7 linked regions of the Canis lupus familiaris genome follow. The protein of the gene in region 6 purifies or fractionates together with the protein of the main gene of each other region. This does not show direct contact. Links are inferred from orthologs where the notes say so. Each region holds a gene or a part of one and is shown on either strand. Other genes may lie near its edges.

What was found.
Region 1: the proteins of tubulin alpha-1A chain (region 6) and HAX1 purify together in Homo sapiens (affinity purification with mass spectrometry; 3 studies listed by BioGRID and IntAct, with this or other methods). This does not show direct contact. The link is inferred for Canis lupus familiaris from reciprocal best matches to the Homo sapiens genes TUBA1A and HAX1.
Region 2: the proteins of tubulin alpha-1A chain (region 6) and DNAJB6 purify together in Homo sapiens (pull-down; 3 studies listed by BioGRID and IntAct, with this or other methods). This does not show direct contact. The link is inferred for Canis lupus familiaris from reciprocal best matches to the Homo sapiens genes TUBA1A and DNAJB6.
Region 3: the proteins of tubulin alpha-1A chain (region 6) and IRS4 purify together in Homo sapiens (affinity purification with mass spectrometry; 3 studies listed by BioGRID and IntAct, with this or other methods). This does not show direct contact. The link is inferred for Canis lupus familiaris from reciprocal best matches to the Homo sapiens genes TUBA1A and IRS4.
Region 4: the proteins of tubulin alpha-1A chain (region 6) and DNAJB11 purify together in Homo sapiens (affinity purification with mass spectrometry; 3 studies listed by BioGRID and IntAct, counting the BioPlex papers as one, with this or other methods). This does not show direct contact. The link is inferred for Canis lupus familiaris from reciprocal best matches to the Homo sapiens genes TUBA1A and DNAJB11.
Region 5: the proteins of tubulin alpha-1A chain (region 6) and TCP11L2 purify together in Homo sapiens (affinity purification with mass spectrometry; 3 studies listed by BioGRID and IntAct, counting the BioPlex papers as one, with this or other methods). This does not show direct contact. The link is inferred for Canis lupus familiaris from reciprocal best matches to the Homo sapiens genes TUBA1A and TCP11L2.
Region 7: the proteins of tubulin alpha-1A chain (region 6) and BAG2 purify together in Homo sapiens (affinity purification with mass spectrometry; 4 studies listed by BioGRID and IntAct, with this or other methods). This does not show direct contact. The link is inferred for Canis lupus familiaris from reciprocal best matches to the Homo sapiens genes TUBA1A and BAG2.

What each region holds. Positions count from the first base shown.
Region 1 is NC_049228.1:42,956,551-42,960,847, reverse strand, and holds the start of HAX1 (HCLS1-associated protein X-1), read left to right. Parts: upstream 1-1,497; 5' UTR 1,498-1,605; coding exon 1,606-1,658; intron 1,659-1,724; exon of another isoform or gene 1,725-1,870; intron 1,871-2,123; coding exon 2,124-2,422; intron 2,423-2,552; coding exon 2,553-2,746; intron 2,747-3,618; coding exon 3,619-3,670; intron 3,671-3,797; coding exon 3,798-3,904; intron 3,905-4,029; coding exon 4,030-4,120; intron 4,121-4,268; coding exon 4,269-4,297. Other genes in the region: UBAP2L (ubiquitin-associated protein 2-like), read left to right, coding at 45-140. UniProt on the Homo sapiens protein: Recruits the Arp2/3 complex to the cell cortex and regulates reorganization of the cortical actin cytoskeleton via its interaction with KCNC3 and the Arp2/3 complex. Slows down the rate of inactivation of KCNC3 channels. Promotes GNA13-mediated cell migration.
Region 2 is NC_049237.1:20,540,879-20,544,378, reverse strand, and holds part of DNAJB6 (dnaJ homolog subfamily B member 6), read right to left. Parts: intron 893-3,500; coding exon 783-892; intron 1-782. UniProt on the Homo sapiens protein: Has a stimulatory effect on the ATPase activity of HSP70 in a dose-dependent and time-dependent manner and hence acts as a co-chaperone of HSP70. Plays an indispensable role in the organization of KRT8/KRT18 filaments.
Region 3 is NC_049260.1:82,901,730-82,905,984, forward strand, and holds the start of IRS4 (insulin receptor substrate 4), read right to left. Parts: upstream 2,801-4,255; 5' UTR 2,798-2,800; coding exon 1-2,797. UniProt on the Homo sapiens protein: Acts as an interface between multiple growth factor receptors possessing tyrosine kinase activity, such as insulin receptor, IGF1R and FGFR1, and a complex network of intracellular signaling molecules containing SH2 domains.
Region 4 is NC_049255.1:19,370,402-19,373,901, reverse strand, and holds the end of DNAJB11 (dnaJ homolog subfamily B member 11), read right to left. Parts: intron 2,971-3,500; coding exon 2,913-2,970; intron 1,791-2,912; coding exon 1,679-1,790; intron 1,390-1,678; coding exon 1,230-1,389; intron 480-1,229; coding exon 415-479; 3' UTR 46-414; downstream 1-45. UniProt on the Homo sapiens protein: As a co-chaperone for HSPA5 it is required for proper folding, trafficking or degradation of proteins.
Region 5 is NC_049231.1:33,395,493-33,398,992, forward strand, and holds part of TCP11L2 (T-complex protein 11-like protein 2), read right to left. Parts: intron 2,039-3,500; coding exon 1,903-2,038; intron 1-1,902. UniProt on the Homo sapiens protein: Promotes the migration of muscle-derived satellite cells (MDSCs) during differentiation throught interaction with FMNL2 and therefore may participate in microfilament assembly.
Region 6 is NC_049248.1:41,239,328-41,243,368, forward strand, and holds the start of tubulin alpha-1A chain, read right to left. Parts: upstream 2,801-4,041; 5' UTR 2,703-2,800; coding exon 2,700-2,702; exon of another isoform or gene 1,849-2,699; intron 591-1,848; coding exon 368-590; intron 228-367; coding exon 79-227; intron 1-78. UniProt on the Homo sapiens protein: Tubulin is the major constituent of microtubules, a cylinder consisting of laterally associated linear protofilaments composed of alpha- and beta-tubulin heterodimers.
Region 7 is NC_049233.1:24,636,079-24,639,155, reverse strand, and holds the end of BAG2 (BAG family molecular chaperone regulator 2), read right to left. Parts: intron 1,919-3,077; coding exon 1,506-1,918; 3' UTR 501-1,505; downstream 1-500. UniProt on the Homo sapiens protein: Co-chaperone for HSP70 and HSC70 chaperone proteins. Acts as a nucleotide-exchange factor (NEF) promoting the release of ADP from the HSP70 and HSC70 proteins thereby triggering client/substrate protein release.

The sequences.
Region 1 (4,297 bases), on a different chromosome or scaffold from region 6:
ACCAGACACCTTTTTCCTCCTCCTCATCATCCCATTCCCTGCAGACGGGCAGCGGGCAACGTAGCCAGACCAGCTCCATCCCGCAGAAGCCCCAGACCAACAAGTCTGCCTACAACAGCTACAGCTGGGGGGCTAACTGAGGCCTGACCCCCCTCCTGCCCGGCAACCACGGAAACGGCATCAGAGAGAGAGGAAGGGGGGGTTCCGCTGCCCCTACCTCCAGTGTCCCACCCTATGCCTCAGCTTCATGTCTGTCCCGTCCCCATACCACCCCTACTCTGTTGTATGTATTATAGGATTTGTATTTTCTCCTTTTTTTTCCCCCTTTCCTCTCCTCCTCCCCCCTTGCATTCAAGATTATGAAACTTTGCTGTGGGCCCCGCCTTCCTTCTCCTCCTGTTCACCCTGGTGGTGTATAGGTGAGGTGGGGCAGGGGGACCCCCAAATATATATCAGCCCAACAGCCCTACGTCTCCTCCTTTATTATTAGGAAACAAAACAACAACAAAATGGCGTCATGAATATGAACAGCATTGTCAGATGAATTAGTTGAAGTGTTTTTTTTTTGTACTGTGTCCTCGAATTTAATGGATTAATGTGTCTTGTATATATAAAAAGAAAACCTCTACCTTCAGCCTCTGCCCGTTCTTGCTCATTCTAAGACAGTCTGGTCAGCCAGCTCGGTGAATGAATATTCCGTTCCAGCTGGGCCCCTGGCAGGCTCTGGAGGCCCCAGAATAAAGAGAGCTTCTGCCTTCACCTGCCCTGCTGGGATTCCCTCTCCTCCTTCCCCAGGGGCTTCACAGCCTAGAAGGAGCTGCTGCAAATTTTCATTTCCTCCAGAAGCTGCTTCCTCTGCAGATTTCAGGCTGTGACAGGAATGGACAGCAGACACAGGGTAGAAAGCTGGAGAGTGGGTTTGGGGAGCGGTCGTGTACTGTAGATGGTCCAGGACAATGGTGGGGGGGCATGCAGTTCCTGCTTCTTGAGTGCTGCCGGCCCCTTGAAAAGGAGGGGTCAGGAGACCAGGGCCGGGGTGCAGGGAGGGTGGGGGCGCAGGAAAGGAAAGGCTTGAAAGTCAGGGGGCAGGCAGAGGGTTACTTACAGCTCCAAACTCCTCCCCCGGCAAAGCTTACGGGATTTCCCCGGCTCTCTTGCCAAGCCTGTGCCTGCAGGCTGCAGAGCCTGCCTAGGGCAGCTAGTATCGGTCACGGTCACCGCATGCCCGTTGGCCGGGGAGCGCCAAGTCCGAGCATCCCCAACCGACCCGTGGATTCAAACGCCGAGCCTGGAGCACCTGCCGCACCGGCTCGCTGGGCGGAGGCTGCCCCCTGGCGGCGGCGGCCGGTCCCGGGCAGGAAGGCGGCTTAGGGTTCCGGGCCCTCGCCCGCTCCCTTCGCGGGCAGGGGGTGCGGCTCGGGACCGGGCGGCGCCCCGCGCCGCCTGCGCCGAGCAGACGGTCGTGTTACGACAGCGTGCCGCGCCGCCTGCCTGCTTTCCGGCAGGCGGCCCGACGCTGCTCTCAACTTCCGGCGGCGGAGTGCAGCTGCGGCCAGGTGCGAATGGGCCTCGGTGGGGTCTGCAGGTTCGAGTCCCAAAACGGGGATGAGCTTCTTTGATCTCTTTCGGGGCTTTTTCGGCCTTTCTGGACCTCGGAGGTTAGAGTGGGTCGGGGTCGGACGAGGGTGGGGTCTCCTGAGGGGAGCTTGATCTCTGACACCCAGTTCTTGGGAAGCCGTCCTCTTCGTCACTCCTTCACCAGCTGCGGAGAGGACAGAAGTCAGCACACTGCGCACTCGCCCCGCGGCGGTCACCTGGGCGGCCGCTGAGAGGAGGACTAACCGCAGTTTAAGCCTTTCTCCAGTCTGGGGTGATGCAACAGGGGCCTGGGCGGGAGAAACAGTGGGGGCCGGGCGGGGGTGGGGCGCGGGGGGCGGGGGCACGGCCTGCCCGCGAGGTGAGGACCGACCCTGACACAGACGGAACCCCGACGGCGCCCCGCCAGCCTCACTCCCGCACCTCGGTGCGCAGACCTCTGCCCTTGGCTCCTCGGCCACCCGGAGCTGATTGTGCGGCCGAAGGTGTGGCTGAGATTCTGGTGCTCAATCTACCTTCACTCCCAGCCACAGAGATCCCTTTTTTGGAGGGATGACTCGAGATGAAGATGAGGACGATGAGGAAGAGGAGGAAGAAGCAGCCCCGTGGAGCCATGGGAGCTCGAGGTCTGAGGGTCCCCAGACCCCGGAGGAATTTGGCTTTGGCTTCACCTTCACTCCAGGAGGGATGCGTTTCCATGATAACTTCGGCTTTGATGACCTGATTCGTGATTTTAATAACATCTTCAGCGAGATGGAGGCCTGGACCTTGCCTTCCCGGCCTTCTGGTGTGTGGCTGCCCCTGGAGCACCTCTGGTTTCTCCTGGGTTAGTGGGTGAAGCCAGGAGCCTGAAGAGAGTAGTGGGGGTGGGAAGTGTGAGAAGAATGATAATATCAAGGCTGTGAGGAGCCCAGGTCCTCTCCCCCCCCCAGCATCCATCTGCCCCCTTTTCCCAGAACTTCCAGGTCCTGGTCCTGAATCAGAGACACCTGGTGAGAGACGACGGGAGGGACAGACACTTCGGGACTCAATGCTTAAGTATCCAGATAGTCACCAGCCCAGGATCTTTGGGGGGGTCTTGGAGAGTGATACAAGAAGTGAATCCTCCAAACCAGCACCAGACTGGGGCTCCCAGAGACCTTTTGGTCTGGTGAGTGCTTCTGGGCCCCAAGTGAGAGCCTGCAGGAGGTAACTAATAAAGCACAGACTGGAGCTTGTCAGAATCTAGCAAAGTTGGGTTGGGATCCTAGGTTCTCCACTGTCTAGTGTATTTATCTGTTTTCTCTATTAAGCTCCTTGTAGGATTGGGCGGAGGGGGCGCATGAGGGTGGGAGTTCAGCTTTTTTCTCTATTTTTTTTTATGACTTTTTAAAAAAAGGTTTATTTTATTTATTTATTCCTGAGAGAGAGATAGAGGCAGAGACACAGGCAGACGGAGAAGAAGGCTCCATGCAGGGAGCCCGATGCGGGACTTGATCCTGGATCTCCAGGATCACGCCCCGGGCTGAAGGCGGCGCTAAACCGCTGAGCCACCCGGGCTGCCATATAACTTTTTTTAAAGATTTTATTCATTTATTCATGAGAGACAGAGAGAGAGAAGCAGAGACACAGGCAGAGGGAGAAGCAGGCTCCATGCAGGGACGTGATCCCAGAGTCCTGAGATCCAGCCCCACATTGGGCTCCCTGCTCTGTGGGGAGTCTGTTTCTCCCTTTCCCTCAGCCCCTCCTGTACTCCCTGTCTCTCTCAAATGCGTAAAACCTTAAAAAAAAATCACCAGTCTGTATGATTCTGGGACAAGACGGATTGTTGGATAGGATAGAGTGTCAGTTGAGGAGAGCCTTTTGGTGGAAAGATAGATTGAACGGGTAGGACAGAGAAAGGGGTGAGTAAATAAAGCTATCCTGAGTGGAATCCTCTGTCCCAGGGGAAAAGTAGTTACGGAACTTAGGAATATTTTGGATTCTGTGACCTCTCAAGTTTCAGATTGAAAGGTATCATTTCACCTATTTTGCCTTCTACAGTTTGATGATATGTGGCCTGTGACCCCCCGTTCTAGAGCCAGAGAAGACAATGGTGAGTCTGGAGGGAGGGGACATTTAACGTACCCTTTGTTCTCTCTCCCTTACATTTCTTCTTGTCACACTTGGCCCCTTCTTTTCCTTTGGACTTTTGATTTCGTGTTTCCTCTCTGCCCTTCTAGATCTTGATTCGCAGGTTTCCCAGGAAGGCCTCGGCCCAGTTCTGCAGCCCCAGCCCAAATCCTATTTCAAGAGTGTCACGGTGACTAAGATCACTAAGCCAGATGGGGTGAGTTGGAAGAGGAGTAAAGGGAAATGTGGCCAGAGGATGCCATGGAAGAGCAATCTATATAAAGAAACCAGTGAGCTCACTTCTATTGATCTTAGAGATATGGTTGGGGTCTCTCCTTGTAGACAGTAGAGGAGCGCCGGACTGTGGTGGATAGTGAGGGCCGGACAGAGACCACAGTAACCCATCAAGAAGCAGATGGCAGTCCTAGAGATGGTAAGTAAAGTTTGTGAATCAAAAAGGTCCATCTCTTATTTCCTTGGGCAAAAAACACACATACTTTTTCAGCCTTTGATATTCTTCTCCTTGTCCACTGCCCATTCTTTTTCATTTAGTGTGTCTGTATGTATCACTTTCTCCTTAGATCCAGAATCACCAACACCTCCAGCCCTG
Region 2 (3,500 bases), on a different chromosome or scaffold from region 6:
ATAAAGATGCTCCACGTGTTATTAGCAGCAGTGGAAGGCAAGTGGCGGTTAAACAGATTTCCTCTAAACTCAGAACTGCCTCTCACTGACGATCCTGCCAGAAGGATATACTTGGAGGAAGCACCCACGCCCTGCAGCCAGTAAACCTCACTGGTGACCCTGACCCCCTGTGGATACACTTGAAGGAAGCACTGATGCCCTGCAGCCAGTGAACCCTACTCCAACCTTCTGGGTACCCTGCCTTGACTCACACCAGGTCATTCAGTGCTCCTTCCTGGCAAAGCAATGTCAGTACATTTCCAGTCTTCTAACAAACCTCCACACTGCTCTCCCAAACCCAGGGCCCACACACACTTTTCTTCACCAAGGACCTGCTGATTGAATCTAACAGCTCACCTTCCACTTGATTTGTGAAACCAGGCTAATGGATCGGACTTTTCAAAAGCCTACACTTTCCAGTATCTATGCTCTAGACCCAGGGGCGAGGGAAGCAACACCTCAAAGTCTGGAGACGCAATGACCCAGATGGAGTCCTACACTCTGATCCATCCTGTCAGTCCTCAGATCAGTGTCAGTAACTGTTTAAAACAGCCATCCTGAAAGAAACTGATAGAAGCAGGGTACCCACAGCACTCACGGGTAACTGTATCAAGGATCTGCCAGGGACATGGGTCAAAGCTTCACAAGGAAAGAAACTTTTCTCCATGCCCAAACCTCAATTAGCCAAATCCATACTCCACTAAGCCCTGGGGAGAGTCCGAGCTCTGGGTAGGTTAACTCACCATCTGATAACACCTCATACGCCTCAGCTACTTGCTTGAATTTCCTCTCTGCTTCTTCTTTATTTTCAGGGTTTTTATCTGGATGCCACTTTAGGGCCAGTTTCCGGTACCTTGGAAAGAGTAAAAGGGCACTGGTCACTTCCACGTGCAGGTCACTTCCATGTGCAGAAATCCAACGGCTATGAAACATCACGAGGTTCATAAACCTGTGCGATGAGGGTCAATTCAGGAGTAAAATCTCCCTTTCCCCCACCACAAGACAAAGAAGTTCTAAAATCCACACAGCACAATACAAAACTGAGAGATACAAAAACATGGCAACATTTGAGGATCAATGTGTGCAGGTGAACTCCTGGTCGTGCAGCTGAGAGAGCAGAGGCAGAAGGCAGCCTTGGTAAGGGGCCAAGGGTCCAGCACCACAGCCCTGGTCCCCAGCCTGTCGCCTCCCACAGCAGTATGGCAGGGGTGGGCTGTAGCAGCTCCATTTACAAAGCCACCCCGTTCTGTGCTCAAGACTCACTGAAGCCTCCAATTAACAGTAACAATTACAGGGATTTATTTTTTTAAAAAAATCCTTTTTAAATACGATAAAAAAAATCTCTTCTACTTAACTAAACATCAGCACCACATATGATATGAGGTGGGGGCGGGCTAGCGGGGGAGGGGTAGGCCCTGCAAAAGCTAACATGAGGAACCAGGCAGTCCTCCTCACACCTGCAAGTTGTTAACATAAGGCTGTTGTGGTTCAATTTAACATTTTAATCAAAAACCTTGGCTTGAACTTCTTAAAATCTGGTTAACACTGGACTCTACAACACTAAAACAATATTTTATCTTTCTATCACCATGGACCTCAACATGCAATAAGCAGACCAAAACCCCTGAAATGCAACAGATCCTGGGCAAAAATTGACAGACCATGTAAAAGACCAAGGAGAAAGAACGGTTCATTTGCACTAGTGTGCTCTTTGAAAACAAAGAATGTAGCAGAATCCAGGGTAGCTTTATCTGTACAGGTTTTATGAAAGACTACTCAATCTTCTTTGGATTCCAGGCACAATCCATGAAATGGGAAGAGTATCGGATGTCTTTTAGCATCAGCCTCTGGACTGAAGTGTGACTTCACAGCAGTACTTGAGCACCAACGCAGGCAGGCTAACCCGTGGAGCGAGGAAAAGCACAGGGCCTGGGACACAGAGCCAGGTAAGATTGTAGGTTCCTCAGGAGAAATGGTGAGAGAGAGCAGCCACACACAGTTACTCCTCCAATAGAAGCTTTTCTGGTCACTACGCATGAACAAAGCCTAGAATCCACAAAATGGACTAAAAACATGCACCACTCACAGGTGCAGTTCTGCTCATTAAAAATAAATAAGGGGGGATCCCTGGGTGGCGCAGCGGTTTGGCGCCTGCCTTTGGCCCAGGGCGCGATCCTGGAGACCCGGGATCGAATCCCACATCAGGCTCCCGGTGCATGGAGCCTGCTTCTCCCTCTGCCTGTGTCTCTGCCTCTCTCTCTCTCTCTGGGACTATCATAAATAAATAAAAATTTTTTTAAAAATAAAAATAAAAATAAATAAGGCTAAATCCAGCCTAAGTTAGTATTAATTTAACTGCACACTTAATGGGAAACCCTTACTCTATTTACAGGAAATAGCATTTCCTAAGTTCATACTTCAAAGCATCCTGAAGACGCTGATCGACCCCTATTCTCATAGGTAACTAAACCAACTACTTTCTGTGTTTAGAGTAACAAAGGCATGTTTTTCCAGTGGTTAATAAAAATAAAAATACTGTGGACATACTATTCAGGAAGAATACGATTATTTCCAACTAGCCACTGTTGCCCACGAGCTGTGAGCAGAACTGTTAACAGAAGTGAGAAGCCCCAAGGCCCACTGGTGACAGCCCAAAGGCACTTCCTGGGGGCCCACCTACTTGAATTTCCTGGCTGAGGTTTAACACAAGGATATTCTGCAAACAGCTTCAGGTAGGCTGGCTGTAGCAGTCAGGCTGCTATCTTTAGCATTTTTCAATGAAATATTTGATTCAAACCCCTCAAATGTGGGATACCTGGTTGGCTCAGTTAAGCATCTGCTCTCCATTTTGGCTCAGGTCATGATCCCAGGGTCACAGGACCAAGCCCCGTATTGGGCTCTGCCTGTCCCTCTCCCCCCTCCCTGCATACAGGCTCTCTCACTCTTGCTTGCTACCAAATAAATAAATCTTCAAATAAAAACCCTTAATTTCCATCTGAGATCTATGAAGTCTAATAGTATAGACTTGTGTATTAATAAAAATGTTTGGGACGCCTGGATGGCTCAGCGGTTGAGCATCTGCCTTCGGCTCAGGGCGTGACCCCAGGGTCCTGGGATGGAGTCCCACATTGGGCTCCCTGCAGGGAGCCTGCTTCTCCCTCTGCCTGTGTCTCTGCCTCTCTCTCTCTCTCATGAATAAATAAATAAAATCTTTAAAAAAACATTTTTTTAATAAATAAAAATGTTGGTTCCTATAACAAATTGAAATTATTCCAAGCTGAGTTTTATTAGTCTCTCCAAGCTAAAATCTGTTTCATAACATTTCTTGCTACACATGAAGGTCAAATGAATTAAATCCAGTTCACCTTGGCCACCTGTGCCCTCAGCCTTGCCCTGTACAGGCGCCAGGCCTGGTCACAAAGGCATGGATGGGTAAGGCTGACAAACCATACCATGGACCA
Region 3 (4,255 bases), on a different chromosome or scaffold from region 6:
TTTTAGTGAAGTCAATGTTGACGTAGACACTAGAGCTGTCAGCTTCTCTCTGCGCACGTGTGGGCTTCTGTGATTTGGGCTTGATTTTATTTCCTTTTGTAATAAAAGAGAGACGGTTGGGTCTTTTGGCCTTGTTCTTGGGGGGCCCATTATCTGAAGGCTTCCAGCATGTCCCCCCATCCCTAGGCTTTGAGAATGACCCCTCCACTGGAGGCTTTGAAACTGCATGTTTGGGGCCCCAGTTAGACGTGGGTGCCTTGTCCAGGCTATTTCCCAAGAATTTTCCAGGTAACATTGGTACATACTCACTGTGGTCACTCCGTCCCAATGGGGAGCCCTGAAAAGGATTTGGCAGAGAGAAGTAGGAGCTCCAGCTTTTAGAGGAAGAGCCGCCCTGAGGATTTCTGGGGTTTTTTGGAATTGCACCGGCTCCAGGAGCCATAAACATATAGTCACTCTCACTGTCATTGTCCTTTGACTCATCCTCCTTCTCGGGATCTGGCTCTTTCTGGGCACTTGGGGCTGGTGGTGGGCTCATCCTAGGAAACATCATCATGTACCCCCTTGAATCTTCGAAAGGTGATCGAGAGTGGTGTTTTGAAGCAGAGAAGTTTTGGGGAGCCATTGGCATATAATCGCTAGAGCTTGCAAGAGGGGCAGCCACCCCTGGCCTCATTGGCACATAGGGGTCATCCTCATCTTCATCAAAAGCCCTGGCTCTGAGGGGGCCCCGAGCTGCACCTTCTGGGCTGTCTGCCTTGTCCTTGACCTCTTTGGCCTCCTTGCGATCTTTCTGGGCTCCTCTGTCGGCACAAAAATAAAGTCGGAACCTTCCCCCAGACTTCCCTTTACCACCAGTTGCTCCCGCTGGTGGGGGTGGGGGTGGAGGAGGTGGAGGTGGTGGCATCTGCTGCTGCTTGCTTTGAGTTAGTTTGCCAAAGTAGGATCTTTTCTTCAGAGATTTTCCACGGTCACCACTGCCATCGGAAGTCTTCCCACCTCCTGAGCCTTTGCCCCCTCCAGAGTTCTTGCCACGGCGGGAGCCATGGCCATCGCCCGGTCCCTGCCCATCGCCTGAGCCGTGTCCACCTCCGGCTCCCTGGCCGCCGCCAGAGCCGTGTCCACCTGCAGTGCCTTGGCCAGCTCCTGAACGTTGGTTTCCTCCCATACCCTGGCCCCCTGAGCCCTGGCCACCGCTAGAGTCCTGGCCACCTCCAGAGCCCTGCCCCCCACCTGAGCACTGGTTTCCCCCTGAACTCTGGCTACTGGAGCCTTGGCCACTTGCGCCCTGGCCACCTCCGGAGCCCCGGCCATTTCCCGAGCCCCAATTGTTCATGGGCATGTAGTCACCTCCGTTTCCTTCCTGTCCCTCTTGGCCCTGAGGACTCCCTTCATCCCCAGAGTTGCCAGAGCCAGAAGCTTCAGGAGACAGGCAAGCTCTGTCGTTCGGGACTTCGGCGGGATGCGGGACACGCACCGGGCTGGGCGGGAGGCGGCGGCAAAGGCTGGCTGGAACCGAAATCGCTCTCCTGGAGCGGCGCGCTCTGGGCAGGTGCAGTCTTCCTCGCCTGGAGGGGAGCACAGGTTCGCTGGGTGTCATGTAGCGCCTGGCGAGGAGCATCTCGTCTTCCCCGTCCCCGATGGCCCTGAGGTGGCAAAACTGCTCAAAGCGGGACCTTCTCAGCCAGCCACCGGGCTCACGCGGCAGCGTGTCCAGGTGCCTCCTAGTGGACAGCAGGGTTAACAGGTGGGCGCCGATGCTGATGCTGTAGCTGCGGCAGCGGGCTCTGTATTCGTCTGCGCACAGGGCTCTCATCTTCTCCAAAAACAACTCGTGCATGTTTTGGGCCACTACACAGTCATCGACCTGCATCCAGAGCTCCCCGGGACCAATGACGGTGGACCTACCGACCTCCAAGAAGAAGTACTGCTCTGAGTGCCCGCAGCGACGGATGCTCAGGAGCTGGACGACCACGCTGGCCACCTCGGTATTCAGCCTCACGAACAGCACCTCCTCGTCGGTAAGACAAAGCCGGAACACGCCGCTCAGCTCTTTTCGGTGCCCCAGCCCCCTGGGCTTGACTATTACCTGCCACACATCTTTGTAGAAGGGTGGCTCCGCCGCCGCTGCAGCCGCCAGCGCGGTCGGCTCTCCATCCGGCTGCGCGCCGGGCGTGCCGCAGCGGCGGCGCTTGCTCTCGAGGATGAGGCGGCTGAGCAGCAAGTACCAGCTCTCCTGCTCCGACTCGTTCTCGGCCACCATGGCGAAGTACTCGTCCTGGGTGAAGAGGGCGATGAGGTGGCGGTACCTGGCATCGGCTCGCTGGCTCACGGAGAAGCACTGGTACAGGGTGATCACGCGTCGCGGCGGGATGAGCGCGGGGACCGCGGCGCCAGAGGCGGCCGCCGCAGCCGCAGCCGCCGCGGCGCGGACACTGTGCCGGAACTTCCTGGCATTTTCGTAGTATTCCAGCCGAGCCGGGGCGTCGGCGGTCTCGAGTTTGAGCACGAAGTAGCGCCTGTGCCCATGCTTCTGCTTCCGCAGGTAGCCGCGTTTGCAGACTTCGTCCCCGACGGGGAGGTCCTCCTCGTCGGACTCCGAGTCTGACCGGGAGCCAGTGGCCGTGGAGAGCCACATGGCTCCCGGACAAGACGACCCGGTCCCAATGAGTGCGGTCGAGGTGCCCAAGGGGAGAAGTGGGGTGGTCGCCACCACAGCTAGAGCTGCCGCTGTTGCCGCCGCTGCAGCGCTCAGCCTCCTGGTCGCTTGGTCGCGAGCGCAGGAGCAACTCGCCATGGTGATGCACGATGGTTTTAAGGTGAGCGAGCGGTGGGGGGGGGGCCTCGGGGAAGGGAGGGTTGGGGGAAGAGGCCGTCTACCCCTGTCCGCCCGCCCCAGCCCCTCCCGCCTCGGCCCCGCCCCCGCCCACTCCACTCAAAGCGCGCGGCTGCGGGCAAAACAACACGTGACCGCTGCCTCACGCGGCGGCCACTGTGGCTCCAGCTACCGGAGCTGTGGAGGGGCGCGAGCGGCCGCCAGCTAAAGGTGTGCAGGGGAAGGGGCGGCGGGCCCGCCTCCTCGCCGCCGCGATCCCCCGCCCGGCCGCTGCCCCTGGCCCTGGCCTAGGCGCTCGGTGAACCTCCGGGCCTGTGGGCCTCGGGAGGACCGACACGAGGAGGCGGGGCGCTCTGGCCACGCTGGTCCTAACCGCGAGTCCACGAAGGCACGAGGGGGAGGGAGGAGGCGGGGAGGGGCGGAGGAGAGAGCTGCCTGCGATCGGGGCCGGACGGGGGCGCCACGGCTGGGGCTCTATTGGCTGGAGGGGTCGAGGGGTGGTGGCGAGGGCGGAGCGCGGCCCGTCCTGGTAGGCGCCAGGGTGGAGAACTGGCCCAGCCGTGGGACAGTTTGTTTATTTAGGAAGTGGGAGCCAGGTGAAACTGTTGCGAGGTTCTCATTGGGCGGGATGGGAGCCAATGGGAGTGTCCGGCAACGGAGTCAGCCGTGAATTAATTAGTGCGGGGGGCAGGAGGGGTACTGAGGGGCGAGGGGGCGGGGCTTGGGTCCCGGAGTGGGCTCCGCTGTGTGGTTGTCGCGCTCACGGGCGGTAAACCACCCTCTGCAAGGAGCTGTTAATGGTAGTGCTAAACTCGTGCGGGTCCCTGAGCCGCGGTGACCTGGGGACGGCGCCCGGCGCCCTCTTTTTTTTTTTTTTTTTTTTTTAATATCCTCCCTCCCTGTCCCGCACAGAAATTCTCTATTCCTGTCACAGGCGGGTCCCCTAGCTCCCGCCGCGCGCCGGGAGCTGAACGTCTCGGTAGAAAGTGTGGGCACCCCCTCCCCCTGGAATCGTGTTAACGACCGGGGCCCTCAGACCTGCCTCCCACCATGCTGCATGCACTCCCGAGCCCGCTTCAGCCCTGACAAAAGCCCGCGACTCTCAGGCACCCGCACGACAGCCATGCCTTTAAAATGAACACGACCTTTAATCAGAGCCCATTTCTAAGTCCCCCACCAAACGCAGAGTGGCTAGAGATGCATTTTCTGGCTCTTTGCTGAGTGATGTCTACGAAAAGCACGAATTTGGGGGCTTGAAAAGTACACAGCCATGTTGAGAAAACTCGGACTCGGTTCTTACTGAATTACGCCAGAGATGGGCTGTCGTGGTATCTTCCCGTGAGGGATGCTCCGAAAGGCGCCTTTAAGGGAATTTCAAAATAATATTGTTTCCCTTTCCTTGAGCGAGACTGCAAAACT
Region 4 (3,500 bases), on a different chromosome or scaffold from region 6:
AAACCAACAAGAAACAGGAGTCAAGAAAAAAATGACAACAAAATGTATTTAAAAACAGACTTCTCCAGTTGGTATTTTGAATGAAATGGCTAACAATTAACTCCGACCCCTTATATTGTGTTTCTTTTGCTCCTGGAGTCCTCTTGCAGCTTTAATTCTTGAAACTCAGGCAGCAGCACCAGACTTTAAATCCCCAAAGGGAGAGGTATTATTAAACCTTTTGCTGGTCATTCTTTTCTCAACACAAATGGACAAATTCTTAAGCCCTCTTATTCATCTCATGACGATCATTAGGAGAAACAAATTAAGCCAAACTTGCATATTGAAAGTAAGAACAAAAACACAAAAAAACCCTTGTAGATAATAAATATCGCTGATTCACTTATTTTAAACAAAGTCCAATTTTATTCACTCTTAATATCCTTGCAGTCCATTGTATACCTTCTGCACTGATCCTTGGTTCAGAAGCTGTTTGATACCTGAAGAAAGAATAAGTGATTCCATCAACAAAAAAAAGGGATTTCGCTTAGAGTTTAAAGAGATTTCATGGGGAGGCTCACAAAAGGCCCTATGACAACCACAGATCCGAGTTAAACAGATAAATAACCATGTTCAAGTTCATTGAGTGTGGATCCCCCCCCCCCCCATGGGCACACGTATGTCCAAGATGGCACGGCCCCTTATCTCCTTCTGTCTCTGAGGCACACATCCCACAAAACCCTATCAATGAGAAATGAGAAAATGGCAACCAAGCTCTTCAGTTGTCTTCCGTTCCTTCTTCTTTGTCCTCTTTTTAGTTCTGACCTCTTTCACCATTCTCCTTCCTCCTACTATTCAGGATGCACCAACTGGGCCCTTGCCTCAAGTAGCCATTGCTGATGCCACCCATTGTCCTCTAGCCCTTCTAATGTATATCCTTCCCTTTAACGTTTGGTCCAGCTGATTTGTTTTTATGTGATCCCACTTCACGCTCACAGCCACATACCCTTGTTGCCAAAGCCTCTTCACCCAGCCTTTTGTAACATGGTGATGAGATTTTCAATATCTCTTTTATAGAAAGGCAAGTTCATTTCCTGGTCCTGTGTTTGATGCCCAAGGTCACCAGAGTTTGTTTTTGTTGCCTGTCATCTCTAACCACTGTTTTCATACTCACAAACTGCAGACACGACACACACACCCACACACACACACACTCACACACACACACTCTTTCTCATTAGACCTCTCACCTTCTCTTGCTTCCTCTGTTAACTGTTCTTTTGGAAAATCCACATCAAAAGTGATTATCAAAGAGCCCTTGATGTTGTTGTTGTCAAAGTTGGGGAGCCCTTCTCCTTTCTTCCATAGCTTGGCTCCTGGTCTTGTGATCTTATCCCGGGAAATATGTACCTAGAAAGCAAAGGGCAATGGACCGGACTAGGACTGGTACTCCTGAAACACCACACACTGCTGCTAGCATGCACTGGTGTCCAGAGCTCGTATCACAGCTCAGTACAGCAGCAAGGGTGAAAAAGGGACAAGGGAAACACCATTAGGACATTGTGAGCCAAAGAAATAGGTTTCCAAAGGAAAAGAAAAAACACGTAATCTTAAAACCACCCACACAAAGGTTTAAAAAGACAGGTTTTAAAAAGACAGGTTTTAAAAGGATGGGAAGCAGGAAAATTGGTCTGTTTACCTTGTGGCCATCCAAGTGAGTAATATCCATATCAAAGCCCACCAGAGACTCGACTAGTGAGATTGTCACGTTTGTATACAAATCATCTCCTCTCCTTTCAAATATTGGGTGCCTAAAAATAGAACAAGGCAAAAATAAAAAACTCCCATCTTTCTTTGGAAAGTGTTCCAAAAATTTTAAGAAAAATCTTGGTAAAGGATGAATACCACTCTTTTAAACAATGAGCATTTATTAGACACTCCTTTGTGTGTAGCGTTAATTGAAACCAAAAAGTTGTGTTAGGTTTATTAAATTCTATGCTTAAGGAGTTTATAAATCAGCAGAAGGCAACGCACATAAGTAAAACTAAAACTACAAGTAATCATATTATAGAAAAGAGAAAGACAACTTCTGGCAGTGGGGGCTGGGCGATGGGCATTGGAACAGATTTGGGAAGGTCTCTAAGGCTAGGCTCGAGGCCAGGTCAGCTGTAGATGCAGATAAGGTGGGAATGGGGGAGGGTGAGGTTGGAGTAAGAGGGAATTCTGGCAAAGACCAGGACTTGAGAAGGTACCAGGTTTACTCAGGGAACATCACATGTTCCAGGTTTTCTGGGAAGATATGAGAGAGATAAAGTAGGTAAGGAAACTTGGGGAAAAGATCTCTGAGATTAAGAGTGGTAGGAGGGGAAAGTCCTAGGCAGTGGGGGAATGTTTCTCCATATTTACATAGGAAAATTGTTCCAATGAATCCTTAGAAGCAGAAGTATCACTGCTTTCCAAAGTGGTAACAAGAGAGAAATAATAAACAGGAAAGCTTAAGTCCTGGGCAAAATTCTTGTATAATCAGCATTTCATGCTAAAAAGAAGCTGCATATTATGTAACAGAAGGTTCTTTCTATGTAAAGCCTTCCATTCCTTTGTGGTGCCATGCTTGCTCAGTCAAAATCTCAGGTCTCTCCTTGAGTCCCATTCCTGTTTGTCTCTCTTTTACAACTCCTTACTTGTCTTATCAATTCTTTCCTTCCAACATCTTTTGGATTTGTAGGTCCCAAGTAAATATATAACAGTTCAATCCTGGGCCCCAACCCCAAATTTTCAGTATTGCTGTAGTTACAAATGACCAATTAGGTAGTGAAGGGCATGAAACACAGGGAAAAGCCTAGCAGTGTCCTGGTGGCTATCTATCTCTTTCTAATCCAACTCATCTGAAAAGCGGGGCCTAAAGAGAAGGCCTCCGAAATCAGATCACTTACTTGACAACTTTGATTCGGAACCGCAGGTCTCCTGGCTCTCCATCCACATGAGGCTCACCTAGTCAGAAGAGATGATGGTATATCGTAAGTCACACAAGACGAACACTGCAAATCTACCTGTAGTTTAGGAGAATTTTTAAAAGCTACTACCTTAGGTGTGGCCTATCAAGTCTACCTGTGAGAGCAATGTCTCTAACTGGTTATACCAAGTTTCAAATTATTAGTGAAGATCATCTGTGTCTCAGACACAGCGATAAATAACTTGAGCTGTTTCCTAACCAAAGAAAGATTGATTTCTTGAACCTAAGTCTTAAATTTTCTTTTTTTTTTTTTTTTTTTTCAGAAACCTCAAAAGTGAGGTCTGAGAGCATCTCATTAATGCCAACCAGAGCTACATATCTTCTTTCATTACTGAGTTCAAATTAATCCATTAGGGTCTGAACACTCTAAATTTTGATATAACTTAGGCTACTAGATATCCAGTAAGTTACTGGATAGTAACTTTTGACTGTGATGTTCAAAAGGTAAACTGTAATGCTATGGCTTAATGTGAAAATCCATGAAGGTCATATAAGGCTTTCTGTGCCC
Region 5 (3,500 bases), on a different chromosome or scaffold from region 6:
GAAGACAGAACAAGACGGTGTGGTAGATAGTGATGGGGAAGCTGCTAACTTCACTGGTGGTTGAAGAAAACTTCTCTAACACAGTGACCTTTGAGTTGAGACTTGAAGGAGGAACAAACAAGCAGCCAGTGAAAATCTAAGGGAACAACACTGAAAAAGCAGAAAGGAGGACAAAGTCCTTACACAGGATAAAGCTGGTGTACTCCAAGGTCAGCATAGAAGCCAGAGCACCTGAGGCATAGCAAGCAGGAGGGAAAGAAGAGACACAGTTGGGAGTAGGGCCTTGCTGCCTAGGGGTTTGAGTTCTTATTCTAAGTGTAATAGAAAACCATTAAAGGATTTTAAGCAAAGAAATGACCTACTCTCATTAACCCTTTTGAAAGATCACTCTGGCTACCATGTGGATATGGAGGATGGACCATGGGAATCAAAGATGGAGCCAGGACAACCTGCTAGGACTTCAGAGTCCAGGTCAGAAATGATGGTGGCTGGGCCTAAGAGTGTAGTACTAGAGCTGGTATAAAGAATTGTGGTAAAATGCAGTTACCATAGAAAACCAAACAGATACAACTATTTTGGCCAGTAATCTTAAAAAGTTATTAATGATTATTATGAATAATAACCTCAAGAGGGGACTATGATCCATATTTCGAAGAAGGAAAATTATGATGTTGCTATTTTCCTGCTTTAAAACAAATAAACATAAAAGCTCCAAATAGGATCGAATATTATATGCTATCTTAATTGATAGAGGAAATACCTCTATATTTATTTTTTTATTTTACTTTATTTTTTTTAGGATTTATTTATTTATTTATTCAGAGAGAGAGAGAGAGAGAGATAGAGAGAGAGGCAGAGACACAGGCAGAGGGAGAAGCAGGCCCCATGCAGGAAGCCCAACGTGGGACTCGATTCTGGGTCTCCAGGATCATACCCCGGGCTGCAGGTGGCGCTAAACCTCTGCACCACCGGGGCTGCCCCTGCCTCTAAATTTATAAATGACACTGTGAGGTTGAAGATTCAGTGTCATTATTCATGAGCTAACTATGCCTGTAAAGGTGATTTATGTGTAGTTATGACCTCAAACCTTTTCTCCTCTTTGTCCGAGGGGATTTATAAGCCACCAAAGTCAGAGAGGCTGAGGCAGGATATAAGAGCATGGCTCTAACTAGAGGTCTCAGGGTTGGGAGGGTTGGGGCCGGGGGCAGTGAGGTTAACCAGGGGTGCCCATGTAGTTGTAATTCCTATCTTCAGATGTTTCTGAGTCACCTATTCTTAGGACTTTGGCAGCTCAGCTACATTTATTTATCTTTCATAACTTGAATATCAGTTTTTAAGAAGTCGATCTGCAAACTTTCTTGAGCATGTACTATATGTCAGGCATTCTGCCAGGCAATGGAGATAGAGCAGCAAACAATATAGACATAGTTCCTCCATTAATGGTGCTTTGGTCACATAATAAAGACAGATACTGAACATAAAATTATAAGCCTTCTTAGCAAAAAGGGGCAATAGGAGTATTTAGGAAGGGGATTTAATGTAAACTAGTATGCTCTGATATGTCAGGAAAAGCTTCCTCAGGAAGTGACATTTAAGCTAAGTTCTAAAGATTATGGGTAACATGTACCCTAGAGGAATGGTTTTATTTTTTTTTTTATTTTTTTTTTTTTTTTACCTAGAGGAATGGTTTTAAAAACAAGTATAAGATCCTGTTAGAGAACTAACCAATTTTTATTCCCAGTGGCTATTATACAAGACTTCTAGGAATCTGTGTGAACGTGTGTGTGTGTGTGTGTGTGTGTGTGTGTGTGTGTGTGAGAGAGAGAGAGAGAGAGAGAGAGAAACAGACAGACAGACAGACTCCGCAGCTTGGTTTACATAAAACAAAGGCCTCTGGGTTACCTGTTCTCAGGGAGGGCATCTTGTTTCAATTGAAAATTCTCATTTACAGCAATTTCATGAGCAAGTGTCATGTTTGATAAGTTCCTTGCTGCAGCCATCACTTCGTCAAATGTTACGACCCTGGGAGGGCTTGTTGCTGAAAGAAAAACAAGCCTCAGTTCATGTCATGGAGGAAAAGCTACCATCGAATGAAGCCTCCCGAAGCAAACAGAGTTTAAGTTATTCTAATATATACATTCAGAGTTTTACAAGTTAAGACGACCATATACTAAATTAGGTAGATTTCCCTGCTAATTACTTAAGACTTCAAAAATTCAAAAACTCCTTTGATAGTTTCAGTTACTGTATTAATAATAAATTCTCAAATGTTTTATTTATTTTTTTTAAGATTTTATTTATTTATTCATGAATGACAGAGAGAGAGAGACAGACAGACAGACAGAGGGAGAAGCAGGCTCCATGCAGGAAGCCCAATGTGGGACTCGATCCCGGGTCTCCAGGATCACACTCTGGGCTGCAGGCAGCGCTAAACCGCTGCGCCACAAGGACTGCCCAAATTCTCAAATGTTTTAGAAATTATCTTATTAACATAAGCTATCATAAGTTACTTTTCTTTTATTAAATCATGTCACATTTTAGTACCTCTTGGTATCTGCACTTATTACGCAGTAATATGCAGGAACTTGGTAAGACTACTTTTATTCTGTCATTTGTAACTTTCATTAATTTAAGCAGACAAGATGAAATAACTGATTTTTTTAAAACTACAACTTCTAAAAGTATAGGCAGTATAGCGTAATGTTTAGGTTTAATTCCAATTTCTACTGCTGGTAGATATTATTTGACTTCACTACGGCATAACTTACCTCCTCAGGGCTGTGTTGAGGTGATTAAGTAAAGTAATTTGAGTAAAAAAGAACAAAGTAAGAACTTCATAAATGTAGATAATTAAAATAAAATTAATCTGGTAAGCTGGATAATCTACTCAGTAGGAAGTAGTAAATAAAGAATTATTCTAATTACTTTTTTAAAAAGATTGTATTTATTTATTCATGAGAGACACAGAGAGAGAGGCAGAGACACAGGCAGAGGGAGAAGCAGGCTCCCTGAAGGGAGCCCGATGTGAGACTCAATCCCAGGACCCCAGGATCATGACCTGAACCAAAGGCAGATGCTCAACCACTGAGCAACTCAGGTGTCCCTATTCTAATTACCCCTAAAGATTATTCTAAAAAATTATTCTAATTCTAACAAAGTAAAATCTTTTAAAAATCACTATTGGAATTCTTAGCTTCAATTAATTAAAATCATTGCCTCAAACAACAGTACTGGCTGGCAATATTTTGCTACCTAAAATAATTTTTTAAAGAAGCAGAGGAGAAAGAGAAGGAAGAGGAAGACCATCTAGAAGAGGAGGGGGAGAAAGGGAAAAACGGTGATACATGGAATTAGTGAAACTTCCCCTCTTTAGGATGCCTGTGTCCCCTGTTAGAGGCACCAACCTCATATGTAGTATAAAGAGTGAGAAAAAGCACAGAAAGCTAGGTGGTTGCTAGTCAATTCTTTTCTCAATTCTCTGTGCCATTAAGATTCTTTCA
Region 6 (4,041 bases):
ACAAAACAAAACAAAACATCGTATCTCAAATGTCTTCCTTCAGATCCTTATTTACTTTATTCTTGAGAATAAACATACCAGTTTCCGAATTCGGTCCAAGACAAGGTCAATGATCTCCTTGCCAATGGTGTAGTGCCCTCGGGCATAGTTATTGGCAGCATCTTCCTTGCCTGTGATGAGCTGCTCAGGGTGGAAGAGCTGGCGGTAGGTGCCAGTGCGAACTTCATCTGGAAAAGGAAAACAAGGTGGCCACCCATCACTAACAACCTGCATGACCCTGCTCAGCCCCAGGCTGTCAGTGGAGCCTCAGACAGACCTCCTGTCCCAGTGCCCCGGGAGCTCACTTGGGTTACTGAGGCCAACTCACCAATGACTGTGGGCTCCAGGTCTACAAACACTGCCCTGGGCACATGCTTGCCAGCGCCCGTCTCACTGAAGAAGGTGTTGAAGGAGTCATCTCCTCCCCCAATGGTCTTGTCACTTGGCATCTGGCCATCGGGCTGAATGCCGTGTTCCAGGCAATAGAGCTCCCAGCAGGCATTGCCGATCTGGACACCTGCCTGGCCAACGTGGATCGAGATACACTCACGCTATGGGAAGGAAAAGAGGAAAATTGTAAATTAGGTTGTGGTAGCATTTTGAATTTTTAGTTAATTTTTGAAAATATTTCTAATAATATACAGGTATTCTTCAGGTTTAGTTGAGATTATCCCTAATTCAATAGAAATGATTAAGGAAAGCACCTGCTACAAATGCTGCAGATGGGTGTGGTCTGAATAATAATGTTGCACTGTTTCGCACATGTGCAAGCCCATTGTTTCCAGTCATGCTTAAATATAATTTTTTTATTTAAAAATATTTAAAGCACGGATTTTGTAAAATGAAGCAAATTAAATTTAATCATTAATTAGTTGGAATCAATATTACTATTCTTGCCCCTTTAAATAAGAGTTTCTTCTACATATGACTTGGTATTTTAACATGGACATCTGTGCTGCAGCTGAAGCTAGATGCCACACCCCTTTGCAGTGTATCTGCAGAATCCATTAGTACTAGGGGATTGGAAGCTAACAAGGTCTGCCTCCTGCACTGCTGCATTGCTGCATTTGCTGTGCCTGGTACTAGCCTATTCTGTCTGCTACATTATTTAACAGAGTAAGTTCTATTTCCAGAAACTGCCTACATGATCTCATTGTGCTATTAGCCAGTTTTCCTTCTGTGACCCGGGCTGGGACCATATGCCTAAACTGAAATGAATTAATGTAGATTCACTAGAACAAAAGACAGCTGAACAGAGAGTACATAGTTCTTTGTCTGCAGCATTTTCATTACTTAAAAAGATGTCCTTCCAGAATCTTCTCCACTGCAAAATAAAAAAAAAAACCCTGAAAAATTATTAGAATCTTTAAAACAATAGTTCCTAAATTAGAAAAGTATCAGAGGACCTACCTAAGAATAAAAGCTCAGTGCAAGGATAATGAAATATTTATTTAAAATAATAAAATAGTATTTTCATTCTGAGATTCTCTACTCACCACAGAATATTTCTACTCATCACGTTGAATAAGAGATTTTCTTCCCTATAGTCTTTATGGCTACAGCTTCCATTGTCTAGCCATTGTCTATTCACTGACATTTGGGCGGGGGTTGGGGGCGGGGGGGTGGGGTGGGGAAGGGCGTTTCCCTGGGTCCTGGGCAGTAGGGTACCCTGGCTCTCAAAGTGAGCTTTTTCTCTTGCTGGACGTGCCGTGCGGCTAGCACACAGACAGACAGACAGACACATACACACACACACACACACACACACACACACACTCACTCCAGTCAGGGCGGGGTCGCCCCAGACCAGACTTTAAAGGGCTTGTGAAGAGAACTGTGATTTTGCATCTCAAGAAAGAAATATTTCATCTACGTTTTAACAGTGAATGAAAAACCTTTTAACGCCTACAGTTCCACAACGATGAAAGGCTTTTAATAAAAGTCTCCGACAGAGGAGGCTTAGAGAGGACGAGCGAACCCCGCCCCGCGGCTCCAAGGCCGGAGAAGCCAGAAACAAACAACTCCGCCCCTGCGCCGCCCCGACGCCGGCTGCCCGGGGTTCCAGCAGAAACTAGCCATTTTCCCCCGTGCAGACGCGGGTATCTCCCTAGAACGCCACCGACCCCGGAGCGATCTTCTTCCTCTAGCCCGGGGCTGCGCTTTGTCCCGCTCCTCTCCCCCTCCCCCTGCCCAACTGCACCCGCCGCGCCCGGGGCTGGGGGACCTCTTCTCGCCCTCCCCCTGGGACCAGCGCCAGGAAGAAAAGCCTGTCCGAGCCACACATACACCGGGGCCGCCTTTCCCTGCCCCAGATCCTGTCGTCACCGACAGACGGGCTGCTCGCGGCTCGGAAGGGCTCAGATAACAAGGACTCGCTCGGCGCCGCCTTTGTTCTTCCCCACGGTTCTGCTGCGCCCCGGGCGCAGTCCTGGCTGCGCTCCCGCACCCGCACCCGCACCCGCACCCCGCGCTGCGGCGGCGGCCGGGCTCGAGGATTTGGGGCAGCGAAGCTACACCTCGCAAACAAAGCATAAAGGCTGACCCTTACCCAAAGAAGCTGTAAAGGAAAGAAGGAAAGAGGGCTTCAGGTTTTCCCAGCAGATCTTGGGGGACTGACCCCACCCAAGGGCCACAAAGAGCCAGAGAAGGAAGATTCTTACCATGGTTGCTGCTTGGCGGCTGCCGGGCGGATGGCGGAGAAGAGGAGAGGTTGTTGCTTCTTACAGCGCGACTCTTAGGCGGTCGATGTAAGAGAACCTGCGGCACATGGGCGGATGCGGCTCCCTATATACAACTCGGTCACCATGGGGATGGGCTGGGGCCTTTTCCTGTTGGTCCAGACCCCCTCAATCTGCCCGGAGAAGTCACGACAGGAGAGTGGTGATTGGTGCAAGCAACATGGGATGAGGTAATCTCTCCCCCACCCCTTTTTCCCTAGCATCCATAGACTGTTTGCATCCTCCAGACAAAGAGACTGTGCAAAAACAGTCAGCCGAGCATCCATGATGGGGTGGGGTTGGGGGGCGGGTGGAGAAAAGAAGAAAGAAAACTTGAATTGGATGATTTTGCTATTGCTTAAACCTCACACTTACAGTTAAAATCACCAGTGTAGGTTTTTTTTTTTTTCTCCAACACTTAGATCGCAGAATTTGTGTTCACATGAAATATTTGATGGAAAATTACTCCCAGCTCCTCTCTCAAAATATACTAAGTTCTACCACATTCGGTGAGGCTTCAACGTCTCTAATTGCTTTATAGATAAAGTAGGAGAAAAGATGGGAATGATGCTTAAAAAGGCTTGGGTGCATGTGATTTTTTTTTTTAATATAAAAAGAAGGTTCAGTAATAGAGCCATCCAAAATGGCTTTTGAGGTTCAAGTAATTTATCTTCAGACCTTCTTTTGCACCCCTCCCCCAAATAGCTAAACAAAAGGGAGGATGGAAGAAAACCATACTAAATATGGAAGCACACAAGTAGTTCTAACACGGTGATAATTAAGATCTAAGAAACCTACTGTAGTTAAATAGTCTACTAGAAATACTCTTTTACCAGAAGTCTGTGTGATTACTATATTTTATGTAGTGTATTATTCCTTAAGATGAATCATCTTTCCTGATAACAGAATTGAGAAAATACAAGGAGTTCAGAAACTAGTTCTAGTACCTGTGCATGCAGTTATTCTCGGCATTGTTCTCCCCGCCCCCCGCCCTTTTTCTGGAAAGGAAGAGAATAACTAAGACATCAAATTTAAAAGGAGAGCTGTATAATGTAAGAAAGAAGACATTTTATAATTTTGTCTCCATCCACAGACAAGTTTGTCAGCTCGATAACTGCATTTCTTTTTTTATGTAGTTCTTGTGTGAATTCAGTAAATCTTCTCAGAGATTGGACTTCTAACTGTGGGAATTGTAGACAGCCTCACACCGTTGCTATTCAACTAGAGACTGTGGTGGTTGCTCAATTGCCTCTTGGGACAAAAAGGCTTTGCTTTCAGCCCTAGG
Region 7 (3,077 bases), on a different chromosome or scaffold from region 6:
AATCAAGAAGCTTTGCCACAGTTATCAAGGAGAATGAATGTTTCCTATGAAATGGAAAGATTTAAATGAGGCAGGCTTAGCAATGGCAATCAAAAACATAATGTTCTGAGATTGTAATTGCTTCTTATGAAGAGAGACTAATTTGACATTTTTGGCCAAAAAATGAAGCTCAATGTTGTTTGCATTGAGAGATCTAAATATATAAAGCCAATCTGGATGTTGACTCCCCCACCCCACCCCCCAATGTGAAAGAATACCTACGTTCCCATGAAAACGGGAGTCTGATGTATTCATTTTGAAGAAGTATTTGAGGGGGAGTTAAGGTTTTTGTGTATCAATAGCATTAGTTACTTCAAACAGAAGTGTTCTAAAGTTGCTTCATTTATCACAGTAATTGAATAATCAATACATTGGTTAGCCTTGTTAGTAAACAAACGCAAACTAAATTAAGGTGTTTCTTATCTATTGTTAGGAAAAAATAACACTCAATTCTGGAAAACTTCTAGTGAAACAGCTACACTTTAATTACTGAAGACAGTATAAATTGATGTAACGTTTGAAAATGTATATATACCTTTGACCCAATAAGTACCACTACTGGGAATTTACATAAAGAAAATCAAAAACAAAGAAGGAAAAAAGTTTCTGTATATAAATATGTTGCAGGAATAAGCAACAAATTAGAACAATCTAAAAGTCTAGTAAGGGGAATAGGTAAGTAAATTATACAACCATACAGAATAGAGGTTTTAAAGTTGACAATTAGACTTTATAGCATTTTTTTTCAAAGGCAAGGTACAACACTGTATTTTTTGTAATGATTAAAAATTTAGAGAAATTATGCACTTGGAAAAAGATGAGGTGGACATATAGTTGTTCACAGTGATAATATTAGAGTTGAATTCTCTCACACTTTATGCCAAGTTTTTATATAATTCAAGACTTATATTCATATTATCAGATGCATAAATCTTAAATTCAAAATAATTTGATAGATGTCCAAAAAAAGTGCTTTCTGAAAAAGATAATGTAGGGAAAGTTTCTTACTTTGTGATTTCTTTTGTCCTTTTAAGCACACCACATAGTTAACAGTAGATGTGTGGTGGTAAGTTTGTGTGCTGCCTAAGGTCAAGAATTTCTAGTCAACTTAATGCCCCATGTGCCCGAGTATCTCCATGCCAGACAAAGCCCAGAACAGAATAATGCTTTGTGCCCAGGCTGAGCAGTTACTCTCTTCTATATACTAAGTATTCATCCACAGAATAGTAAAAAATATATATATATTAGGTGCTAGAGCCTAACACAAGACAAGAATCCATTCTAAAAACTTCTAGAAAGATAATTAAAATATTTCTAGTTTTAATTGTATCATTCACAAAACTGATGACACTGGAATATTTTCCTCATCTGAAACAACAATCAATATCAAAGGTTATACCTAACACAAAGAACTAGTGTTTAATCATTTTTATGCCATTATTTTTAAATGCTCTTATGTTTCAAAACTAATTAAATTTGCCTTCAGCATTTTGTTGCAGAGTTTTGGAACCAGCTCCTTTAGAATGCTCTAACAGCTTGATGGCCTTGTCAGAGTTTTCAATATTTCTAAGCAGGGTCTCTAATCTTCTCTTAATTTTCTTCTGGTCTTCAAGAGCACAGCCAATTACTATGGACTGAAACTTCTGGTCAACAGGCCCGGGTGGCACCTCAGATGAACATGCACTGTACAGGGACATCAAGTGACTCCTGGCATTTCCCAAATCATCCAGAAACTTACTGACCACCTCGTCAATAATCCTGGTGGCATGCTTTAGGGATTCTTGCTGCTGGGGGTTTCTGATTGTTTCTACTGAAACTTCAACGGTGAGGGTTCGTCCCATCAAACGGTTTGCTGTCAGATTTAATTCTTCTCTTTCTCCTAAACATGGAAAGTTTGAAATATCAATCAATACGAGACATAAACTTACCTATATTGAAAACATTTAGGCATTCATTTGTGGCTAAAGTTATTTTCTGTAAGCACCTTGGCTACAAAATTTTTAAATGTAAAAGTCAAAATTATAGCACATAAGATTAACTAATAAACTATATTATATTACGGAGAGAGGTTGCAGAATACCTTTCCCTGAAAGTCTATTTTTTATTATTTCCTTTTTTTTATTATTTCATTTTTTGAGAGAGAGGGAGAGTGAGCACATATGTGTGCAGGTGGGAAAGGGGCAGAAGGAGAGGGAGACAGACCATCTCAAGCAGGCTTCACGTGTAGCGTATGAGCCTGATGTGGGGATTGATCTCACAACCGTGAGATCATGACCTGAGCCAAAATCAAGAGTTGGAGTGCTTAATGGACTGAGCCACCCAGGCACCATTATCTGACAACTTTTATTTATTTATTTTTAATTTTTTTACTTTTTAATTTTTTATTTATGATAGTCACAGAGAGAGAGAGAGAGGCAGAGACATAGGCAGAGGGAGAAGCAGGCTCCATGCACCGGGAGCCTGACGTGGGATTCGATCCCGGGTCTCCAGGATCGTGCCGTGGGCCAAAGGCAGGCGCCAAACCACTGCGCCACCCAGGGATCCCCTCTGACAACTTTTATACATGGGATACCAGATGACTTTTCCAAGTGGGCACGTTTGAAAAAGTGTGGGCAGGTATGCATTTCTAACTCGGATGGAGATCAAGTCTTAACCTAGAGCAAATGGCGTGCATAACCAGGGTTTTGTGCTGGTTACAAGAGATCAGATGCAGTGGATCTCTTGATAAGGATGTGCATGTAGGGGAGGAAAAATAATTTTCCCTGTACCTTTCTGAGTTCTTGGCTGAGAAACCCTGTAATAAAAGACAGATTAACAAGAAAAAAAGCAGAAGCTTATTAACATGTATACTTCACATATACATAGCAGAATTTTAGGGACACTGAGATGGCCTCCCTCTCAGATGGAGAGCCCAAGCCACCACCTTAAAAACCATCTTCAGCTGAGGAGTAAGATGTTGAGGGAGGCCTTCCCCTCTTTAGTGAGGTTACCAGTAAAAGCAGGATAAACCAGGGAAGGGTTGCTTTGCCTTTGGCGTA